Linked DNA regions of Coturnix japonica. Each later gene encodes a partner of the first gene's protein in a complex. Links are inferred from orthologs where the notes say so. Each region holds a gene or a part of one and is shown in the gene's direction. Other genes may lie near its edges. The genes, in order: XPO1, PKIA and RAN.

Evidence for each region.
Region 2: the proteins of XPO1 (region 1) and PKIA are in contact, whole or in part, in an NMR structure (PDB 2L1L), measured with the Homo sapiens proteins. The link is inferred for Coturnix japonica from reciprocal best matches to the Homo sapiens genes XPO1 and PKIA. Residues at the interface, in NP_003391.1 of Homo sapiens: Val518, Lys522, Leu525, Cys528, Glu529, Lys534, Lys537, Ala538, Ala541, Ile544, Phe554, His558, Lys560, Phe561, Thr564, Lys568, Phe572, Glu575, Thr576, Val580; in NP_006814.1 of Homo sapiens: Asn36, Leu38, Ala39, Lys41, Leu42, Ala43, Gly44, Leu45, Asp46, Ile47, Asn48, Glu51.
Region 3: the proteins of XPO1 (region 1) and RAN are in contact, whole or in part, in a crystal structure (PDB 7B51), measured with the Homo sapiens proteins. The link is inferred for Coturnix japonica from reciprocal best matches to the Homo sapiens genes XPO1 and RAN. Residues at the interface, in NP_003391.1 of Homo sapiens: Leu35, Tyr36, His37, Gln43, Arg44, Gln47, Leu50, Thr51, Lys54, Glu55, Asn74, Tyr77, Tyr78, Gln81, Lys124, Val125, Lys129, Met132, Leu173, Glu176, Glu177, Phe181, Gln185, Lys266, Thr269, Glu270, Asp313, Gln316, Asn317, Gln320; in NP_006316.1 of Homo sapiens: Lys12, Lys37, Lys38, Tyr39, Val40, Ala41, Leu43, Gly44, Val45, Val47, Trp64, Glu70, Lys71, Gly74, Leu75, Arg76, Asp77, Gly78, Tyr79, Ile81, Gln82, Val96, Pro102, Asn103, Arg106, Arg110, Val111, Glu113, Val124, Asp125.

Annotation. Positions count from the first base shown.
Region 1 is NC_029518.1:5,186,791-5,190,541, forward strand, and holds the start of XPO1 (exportin-1), read left to right. Parts: upstream 1-947; 5' UTR 948-1,228; intron 1,229-1,510; exon of another isoform or gene 1,511-1,622; intron 1,623-2,356; exon of another isoform or gene 2,357-2,380; intron 2,381-3,751. Other genes in the region: uncharacterized protein LOC116653124, read right to left, coding at 349-947. UniProt on the Homo sapiens protein: Mediates the nuclear export of cellular proteins (cargos) bearing a leucine-rich nuclear export signal (NES) and of RNAs.
Region 2 is NC_029517.1:109,054,005-109,057,655, forward strand, and holds part of PKIA (cAMP-dependent protein kinase inhibitor alpha), read left to right. Parts: intron 1-1,795; 5' UTR 1,796-1,822; coding exon 1,823-1,973; intron 1,974-3,651. UniProt on the Homo sapiens protein: Extremely potent competitive inhibitor of cAMP-dependent protein kinase activity, this protein interacts with the catalytic subunit of the enzyme after the cAMP-induced dissociation of its regulatory chains.
Region 3 is NC_029530.1:2,655,255-2,657,923, reverse strand, and holds the end of RAN (GTP-binding nuclear protein Ran), read left to right. Parts: intron 1-1; coding exon 2-189; intron 190-565; coding exon 566-736; intron 737-840; coding exon 841-885; 3' UTR 886-2,078; downstream 2,079-2,669. UniProt on the Homo sapiens protein: GTPase involved in nucleocytoplasmic transport, participating both to the import and the export from the nucleus of proteins and RNAs. Switches between a cytoplasmic GDP- and a nuclear GTP-bound state by nucleotide exchange and GTP hydrolysis.

The DNA of each region.
Region 1 (3,751 bases):
ATAGTACTTCAAGTGTAAGAACACAGCTTAGCAACTTACACCCATACCAAAGTTTATCACCCATATCTCGTTTATACACAGGAGAGTATATTCAGAACCGTTAAGGACATGATAAAACTTCCCAAAACACCACAGCACCCAAATCTCTATTACAGCTCGGCATTTAATCTCTATTACAGCTCAGAATTTACAGAGATGGCAAAGAAGCGGATGCTGCACTGGACGCACCACAAGGAGCCGGACAGGGCCGTGCTGGAGGTGGGGCAGCGCTCAGTCCTCCCCCACATCCTCCCCTTCCACTGAGGGGACACAGCCTCATCTGCGAGATAGAGGCACTTCGCCACCCACCTCCCTGAGGCGAGGGCGGCCGTGAGGTAAAGCCCGCCATCGCAACACAGTCCGCCGCCGCCGCCCCGTTCTCTCGGCGCTGTGTTTTTCCACAGCCATCGGCAACACAACGGCCCAGCGGCAACACAACGGCCCATCGGACCGAACGGACCGAACGCCACCCTCCACGGCAGGGCAGCGCACAGGCCGCGCTCTCGGCGCCGAGCTGCGAACCAATAGAAAGGCAGTTTGTTCCTCCGCCCGCCGTTTGAGAACTTGAAGGCGGGCCATCCTCTGACTGACAGCTCGGCTCGGCCAATCAGCGCGCAGCAGCCCGCCCCTCGCGCGCTGTCGGGGAGGGGGCGGATCCCGTCTGTCCAATCCTCGCTCGTCGCCGCTCGCTCCCCGCACGCCTCCGAGGGGCTCAGCGGATTGACGTGCCGCCCGCCCAATGAGCGCGCAGGTCGCTCGCTAGGCGCCATCGCTCGGGACCAATGGGAGCGCTCGCTGGGCGGAGGCCTGAGGTTTCCAAACGCTCCGCGGCGCCATGGGCTGAAAACTAAACCGAGATGGAATCTCCCAGTCTGAACCGGTTTGAGCCGGTTCCGAGCCTGTGGCATTAGGAGGGGGAGAGGCGCCGCGCTCAGTCGCCGTTGCTCTCGCTGCCGCCGCCGCGCGTCCCGCTGACGGGGGAGCTCGTGGGGGGAGCCGCCGGCGCAGCTGAGGGACGAAGTTTAGCGCTGAGCGGGGGGGAGGGGGGGATGGGCACGGGGCCGAACTGAGGGCCCGCCAGGCCGAAGGAAGGGCGGCAGGCGCGGGAGGAGCAGCCGCGAGGGCCCAGGCCTGGAGCCAGCCGAGCGGGACGCAGCCGAGTCGTCACGCAGCCGCGGCCGCACAGCAGGTAGAGTTACCCCGAGCTGCGCCGGGAGGCGGCGGCGCCGCATCGAGCTCCGTGTCTCTCCCCTCCCCCGAGGCGCCTCGCGACCACGCGCCGGGCCCGAAGGGCGCATTGCGGCCGGTTGGGGCCGCCGGGCCGGGGCCGAGCCGAGCCCTGCCGTGCTGTGCCCTGCCGTGCTGTGCCGTGCTGTGCCGGGCCAGGCCGGGACGAGCGGGAGCAGGAACGGCGCCGGCGGGGGCCGGGTGTGTGGAGCCTCCTCTTACCTCGGTTTTAATTTTTTTTTAGGGGAGGGTGGCTTTTTATTTTCCTCTCCATTGTTATATTTTTTGCCGTGAGGTTAGGAACCCGAATCCCCCACCCCTTACTTTCTGAAGCAAAAGGTCACAGAAGCATTAAGGTGAGCGGGCGGAGCGGGAAAAGCGGTGGGGCCGGGGCCGGTGGGGCGTCCCGAGGAGCCCGGCAGGCAGGGAACGGGCGCGGGGAGCGGCGGGGCCCTCAGTGTGTGAATTATTAGGAGTGGAAGTTTCCAGAAATATTTTGGTGTGTCTGTGCAGCAGTATTGAAACGTCCGCCCGCGTCACGTGGGGGCCCCGTATAGAACGCGGGCAGGGAGGGAGGGGCCGCTCCGCAAGGCCGGGCCTCTGTCCCTGCCGGGGCCGCCGTGTCCCGGGAAGGCGCTGGGCCGTCGGCGTGCGCCGTTCACGCATAGATGAAGGGGCGAACTCCAGCCACGCTGTGTTGGATGCCGTGCGCACGGGGTGGCTCTCGGCGAGGGGCGGTGGGTAGATTGCCCGCCTCGAGTGATCGTCCCGGGGAGCCTCGTGTAGTCGCGTAGAAGCCGTGCTGCAGAGAATGCTGCTTGCTGTGAAATGATTGTTTTGTTTCTCCACAGGATATACTGAGTTGAGTCTATATCAAGAAGAGAACTGTTGTGTAGAGCTGAAGGTCCTGTGTCGCTGAGAGTTGGGATAGCTGTGTAAAGTTTTTGACAAATGCAGTTCGTTTGACCTTCGGTAGATGTCATATTCTTACTACATTGTAGCTGAGATGTTTGTTTTTTTTCCCTCTAGTTTCTATTACCTCACTTATTGTTAATGGTGAAGAACTCTTTAGTGTTGACATGAGGATAGTGGTCTAAGAGCTGCTCACGTCCAGGTATTTTGGGATGAGTGTGCAGAAGAGCAGTGAATGGGAGGTGTGATGTGTGTGGTGTGTGCCCGGTGTTGGTAGTTGGAATTAGAGCCGGTTGCCGTTGATGGTGACCACAAAGCCGTTTCTGAGTCAGTTTGCTGGTAGGCAGGTCAGTGTGAAGATAATGCTGGGAGTGGCAAAGGACCCTGTTCAAAACATTTCCTTTTTGCCTTCATTTGGTTAATAGCTTCTGTTCATCACGTGGCTGTTCCTTTTGGTTCCTAGTGTTACCAGCCTAACTTCTGTCTGAATGAAACTTCTTAAGATCAACCTGATGTTAAGAAGCAGGTATTCTTCATTGTGCTGCAGGTGCGCGGATGATATTCCACCTATATCCATACTTGGTTCAGAAAATCTTCAGCTTATATACGATACTTGTGTTACATATGTAATGATTTTCCCAGCAAATGCATCCGTATGCAATACTATTTCCCAAAATCATTGGCGTTGTGTTCCACCTCCTTGCACATCCACCCTCCTTTTGTGGTGTTAGGGGTCCTGGGGGGGTATTTCTGGAACCGTGGTGGTAATCTCAGTATGTCCTTTAGTTGAACTCTGGTCTTTTTTTAACCTTATTAGGGATGGAAAGTTCCTTTGTGGGATACTTCGCTGGTTGCTGTACCAAGGACTAGCTGTAACCGGTTCTTATCTCAGTATTGGCCTTGTGGAGTGGTCTTGCTATGTAGGCAGGAACCTTCTGCAAACAATTCATCTCTGTTACCTAAAAACTGTCATAATGATTCATGGCATTAGGATAGTGTAAAAACTACTGAAAAAGGCCCAGGTGCACATTGTGTGCTTCTGTCCAAGGAACCATCAATGTAAAATGTTCTTAGAGTTCAGAAGCTGCTTCACTGGCTCATGCCACAGCCATGAGGGCAGATGTTGAGGATGAGGAAGCACGTGTGTCCGGCAGCACTATTAACGCCCTCAGTTGCATTGCCTGGTAGTGGGCTGGATTTCTTCGAGTGCTGCTGCTTGTTGCCTTTCTTCCAGGTGAAATTTTTAAGTACCCTTATAAGTTAGTGAAAGGAAATGAGCTTTTGCTGCTGTTCTGCTTGCTTCCATACTTAACAGTTCTGAAAGTTTTTGGAGTTGGGTGGAGATGTGTTGGCCAATTAATTTTGGTTTCTACTTGATGTTTATTTCCTCATGTTTTTCTGGGTAGGTATTGTATAAAGGTCAATAGGATGATGATGTTAGCATTTAAAAATGGTTACAGTAGTGCAGTAGTAATAGTTACATGAGTTCTTTTAAAGCAAAATACAAGAAAAATGTATTTTTTTAACTGTTTTAGGTCTGTATCAAAATAAAACCATCGGATAATACTTGCAA
Region 2 (3,651 bases), on another chromosome or scaffold:
GTACATGTGCTCGTGAAGGCATTAGTGTTAGTATAGTCGTATTAACTAATTGTGAGGCACAACACTGTTCATGTGTGTCAGACAGGCTTTCAGACAGTGCTGACCCCTTCCATTCTTTGGGTGTTTGTTGTTAACGTGTGGGGGTTTTTAATTTATTTTTTTATAAAGCAGTTTCCTGTTTCATACTGGTTGTTCATAGGAGTAAAATTACTATGTCAGCCATCCAGCATTTGACATGAGACACCAAAGCTTGATAGCCCTGAACTTTTTCAAATACGTCAGCCTTGCAGTGATACTTGATACAGTTATATTTAGTCTGGATAAAATATGGTTTAGAACCCTCTTTTGGCTTCTCAGGCAACTTACTTATAGCCCCTCATAAAGCTGATGAAGTTGTGGAGGTGAGGACTGGGGTGAAGATGAATGGCCAGAATTTGTGAAGATAATTCAGATCTAAGTGTAGGAATGAGTTGGCTGTTTTCTTACGTAGCTATTTAAATAAAGAGGTTATATGGAATGAAGGTGTTTTGTTGTTTTTTTTTCCTTTTTACTTAAAGAGTTTTATCTCTTGAATCATTTGCTGCTCTTAGTAGTGTCTTCCTCAGCATCCAGAAACTGTGTATAGTAGGAACTGCTTAAAAGCATTTGCACACAGCTAAACCTACCTCTTCTGGCCACGTTCTCTTTGCAGTATGTAAAGCCCAAGAAGTGCAGCTTAGAACTGAAGAAAGCATATAGCTTTGGGGGTGATGCTGCTGTGTAGTGGTTCCCCAGTGCTGCTTTTCTTCAGAGTACTGTTCCACCTGAAAGCTTCCATGATCATCCTCCTATATCCAGGCATAAAATGTAAAGAAGTTACATGTAAAGCCTGTTCATCTGGCGTTTTGCATGAAGCCTTAGTACAAATGGAGCTACATTAAAAGTGGCATCAGCAAAAGAAAGTTTTAACCCATCAGGTTAAAGCTGTGGCAGACAGTCCAGCAAAGATGCAAATATTTCTCTTAGTGAGGTTGAAATTCAAGTTTCCCCTATTGGCAAACTTTACATTAAGGCATATCATCACATATTCCATAATGACATGAAAAACAACTTCCATTGGAAAAGAATTCTGACCTATATCTAGCTTGCAGAACTTAGCATTTTAAGCTGTGCTTTATAGTTCAGCTCTTGTACTCTATTAGCTTATCTCCACTCACTTCATTGACTTTTTGGTAACGCATTCACTTTGGTGTAGCTACAGCACCAAAAAGAATTTGAAGGGGTCTATATACAAAGCCAAAATTAACCATACTAGAGGAAAAGCAAATGCACAAAACCTATCAGTGCCTGTGCATGAGCACATACTGTTATCAGTTTGTACTTTCTTAATCCTTGTGCTCTGCTTTTTGTGCAGAAAAGAACTTTGTTCCACCCCCTACCTTCCTCCTACTTCCCAGCTAATATTAAAAGCAGAGACAGCTCTATAAAGAAATTATGTTGCTGAGGTCATTGCTTTTAGAAAGTAGCACTTTATGAACTATGATAAATGAAGTTGTATAAAATGCCATTGAATACAAGTCGCATAAAATCCACACCTCACACTTTTTTGTTGTTGTTTTTTGTTTTTGATTTTGTTTTTGGCATTTCTTTATGTTTCTGCTCTAATTTCTCCAGATTTAAAGGTTGAGGTATCTCCTTTTGCTACACATCCAGTCCTCTGCTCAGTAAGAGCCCATAGTAAGAGTTCTTCTGCTCTGCTTCTATAACATCATCTGTTCTATTGGTCTTCTAAGTATTGGTGTTTTCTCTCACCCAGGTACTGCTATGTGGATATTTGTTAGCAATGACTGATGTGGAATCTACATATGCAGACTTCATTGCTTCAGGAAGAACAGGTAGAAGAAATGCACTACACGACATACTTGTGTCCTCTCCAGGTGGGAACTCTAGTGAACTAGCCTTAAAGCTATCAGAGCTGGATATAAATAAAGCAGGTGAGTGTGTTTTGGTCTTCTAATATGTTAATTAAAACTTCATGAGAAGAAATGTCCCTTTGAAGCATTCTTTTTTCTTGAAACTGGGATAAGCAGATGTTGCCTGCAATAAAAACACAGATTTCATAAAAGGCAAATAATTGTTACTGAAATAAGAAAGAACTTTCTGCAGTGAATGCTGGGTAGTTGAAGATAAATTTTATAGAAGATGAAGTAAAAAGAAAATGAGGAAGTATTTTTTAAGGCCCAGCTTATTAATAGTATCCTTTAAAAGGAATCTCTTTAATCTGAAGCTGGAAGGAGAGACCATATGCCTGCTTAAAAGTTTGTAGAGGTTAGTTTTGTTTTTAGGTACAAGAGGACAGAGAAATAGTGATGCATTGTTTGAATCTTTGCTTCCAGATGAGACATCTCTTCCCCTTTCTGATGGTGCTTTCTCCTTCTTTTAAGGTGATTAGCACTAATGCAGTCCTAAACCTAACTCCACTGCTAACGTTATCCAAAGTTTTAGCTGGTTGTGCACCTTCAACTGAGTGAAAGGAGGGACAGCGTACAGTGAAGTGCCTTACATTAAATAAAAACATTGACATGGCTTATATTTATTTTCTTGTCACTTGGTTGGGAACTAGTGAATGGATCTTAGAGGCCTTTTCAGGTTTCAGGAAAGGAGATATATGCTTATTTTAATAGCAGAAGAAAACAGATGCAGCAAAAAGCAAACTGTTGATAAGCAGCTCTCCTCTTTTGTGAAAATATCTTTCTCAGAGGTAGGCAAGAACTCAGAGAGACAATTTCATCACTGGACAATCATATCTGGTGGTATGAAATTGTAGTGGTTGTTCATTGACCTTCACAAACTCAATTAATCCTAAGTCCTTGCTTCTACCATTTCCACCTTTGGGCCTATAGTAGCTTTTAAATGCATGCACTCCTGTCAAAAAAGAAAAGGTTTTAATACATGAGCGTGTGTGTAGGGGCCTATTTATTCTAACGTGGGGATATGTCTAAAATGATGGACTGGTATTTGAAATACATTGTGCCAGCCTTCCTTCCTGCTTTGTTTCTTCAGGCTCAAATTTACACTGATTTTGTCTGATCTGCCTATTTAGAGAATATACGACTCCTGCTTTTCAGTTAGCTGTTGGAGTGCTTCTAAGCCAGAACTATGTTCTTTTGTGAACTATAAAAAGAATGTGACTTTGTACTTGTAATATACGTCAGTGTGCATTTTGCACATGCAGTTAACACTGTAGCGATGAAAATGGTTTAAATAACCATTCTCCTAAATGCTAATACATAATTCAGGGGTACATAGAATTGCTTATAAAATTACCTCAGGTGGTAGATATACAGAAATGGTAGCATACTTCTTTGGGCACGCAGTTTGAATTAGATGCAATGAAAATATACTTTTATTAGTAGTATACCTTGGCGCTGGACAAAAACCTCAAAACCAAAAATATTGGAAAATACATTGCATTGTCATTCCTGTGAGTATTACAGTGTTATCCTGTCCTGTCTTTCCAAACCTTACAAAACTACAGTTACAGTGGTTCTTTGTCCATAATAAGTTAACGACTTTCTAATATTCTCCTCTACCAAAACATATTTGGAACATATCTACCATATCAAAACATATCTACCAGAACATACCTACCAAAGAATGTACTTCAGTGCA
Region 3 (2,669 bases), on another chromosome or scaffold:
GCTCAATGTGCCATTATAATGTTTGATGTAACATCAAGAGTTACTTACAAGAATGTACCCAACTGGCATAGAGACCTGGTACGGGTATGTGAAAACATCCCTATAGTGTTGTGTGGCAACAAAGTGGATATTAAGGACAGAAAAGTCAAGGCAAAATCCATTGTCTTCCACAGGAAGAAGAATCTTCAGGTATGATGGCGTGAGTTCACAGGATTAGAGATACATTAAGTCTGTTAACTACATTTGAGTGCTATTCAGTCCTTCAGTGTTGGGAATAAGATGAAATTAGACCAAGTCACAGGAAAAAGAGGCACTATTGCATCCTGAAATCACCTTTGAGCAAATCACCTTTAAGCACCTTATGTTTAAGAGTATCAATTTCTGCCTATTGGCCTGAAACTCTGCATTTCTAATGTCTCATATCTCAGGTGCTTCTGAGGGCATTGACAGAAGTCATGCAGTTAAAAAGAATACTAAAGCACACCTGAGCTGATTGTGTGCAAGTTATTATATTGTAGGTATCGGTGGCAGACTCTTATTGAATATTCTATTTTTTTTTTCCTAGTATTATGACATTTCAGCCAAGAGTAACTACAACTTTGAGAAGCCGTTCCTCTGGCTTGCTAGGAAGCTAATCGGAGATCCTAACTTGGAATTTGTTGCCATGCCTGCTCTTGCACCACCTGAAGTTGTTATGGACCCAGCACTGGCAGCACAGTATGAGCAAGACTTACAGGTAAGTGAGGAAGAGTGCTGAAGTCAAATGACTGACAGATAAGTACCTGGATTCCTGGGGCAAGTAACCAAGAACAATTCTCAAACGTTACTTCTCTATTCCAGATTGCTCAAACCACTGCACTGCCAGATGAAGATGATGACCTGTGAGGGATGAAGCTGGAGCCCAGCGTCAGAAGTCTAGTTTTATAGGCAACTGTCCTGTGATGTCAGTGGTGCAGCGTGTTTGCCACTTTATTATCTAGCTGAGCAGAACATGTGCTTAATCTTTGGGATGCTGAAAGAGATGAATGGGCTTCGGAGTGAATGTGGCAGTTCAAAACAAAAACCCCAACAAAACTTCATGATTTTGGACCTGCATATTTAGCTGTTTTTTGGACTGCAATTATTTCCCTTTTGAGTTTCAAATATAAGACTGCTGCAGTCACATCAAAGTGTTATGTGGTAAATCTTGTTTCTGTCATTCCCATTCTTTTTTTTTTTTTTTTGTTTAGATAATAAAGTTGTATTTCAAATATCTCTAAGCAAGTGAATTTTCATGCGTTGTTAGAAAAAGTCTTGAAAAGCCTCTTAACTGAGGCTCGTACTTGTCTGTCTCTGCATCCTTAGTATCTTCTTCCTTTTGTTATGCTCCTCTTACTCAATCAGAGCTAACAGTTAACCTTCCATTGATTTCCTGAAGCATGTAACTAAAGTGCCCAAGGGAAGCTGAACTAACTGCCAGGTAAAACTAAAGCAGTGAACACTTGACTGGTAAGTGGAGCTTGATTGCCCGATAAGCATAAATCAACCCATACCAAGTGGGATGTTTATGTGGTTGGTGGAGCATCTTGAGAGTTAAGTGTGTAGTTCAGCTTCCATCTGCTACCTTTCAATACTCTCAACTTTTAACTGCACTACAACATGCCTTCACAGAGCAGTTTTCTGAAGTAGCCAAGAATAAATGATATTTAGGTCTGTTAAATGACTACAAACTATCTTTGCATGGAGCATCATTCAGTAGAGCTATAGTTGATTAAACTCAGCATCCTAAAACTCACTAACTAGGAAACTTGTAGATGAGCTTAAAGTGCTCTTGGCTAAAGAACAGCATATTAACTAAAACCCCATATAACTCCTAGACTCCTAGACTTGACTGTAACTTCTTAAATTGAAACTAGCTTATTACAACAGCACAAAAGATGAAAGATGTCAACACTTACAGAGAATAATCTTGGTCAATCCTGGTACTATTAATGAACAGAATACCATTTTTCAGTAGTGTTTGAGTATGTGAAGCCTTGGAACTCTTCAGTTTTGTATTTTTGGTTTCTTAATAAAGTGGAGCATTTCATTCCTTCTAACTCGCATGTTTGTATACGTAACTCCTACCTGAGTATCTCTTTAACACTTCATTCAGATGCGTATCAGCAAAAACTGACTATTAAATGTTTGAGAACAATATTCTGTAATTGGTGTAAAGTTCAAGTTCTGTGGGTTTGAGTTACTGAGATTCTGAGCACTTCAGCTCACTGAGACTCACTAAGGGGAAATGAGGAACATCACACCAGCCTTGGGAAAGTAGAAGCTGACATAACATCCCACTGGATCTTCCTGCTGCATCACCACGCTTCAGCTTTGTATTAGAGTTGTGGAGTTTACTAACTCGTGTGTGCCTTGGTTTCTGCTGCTGGCTTCAGCACCTGCTGCTGATTTACTCATCTTTAAGAAAATAGCTACTATGAGATTCCTGAACATTAATACAAAGCCCTCAGAAACAGGCAGTAAACCCATCCTGCAAAGTAAACCTCCAAACTGTTTCAGGAGCTGGATTACATACATTGCAGTATTGGAGTTTCCTTTTTGTATTTAACTGCAGCCTGTGCTGATGTGAATGTGCAACTTCCTCAGCTGCAGTTTGTTAAAACTAAAAGGTTTGCAGCTCCGCAGCCTCT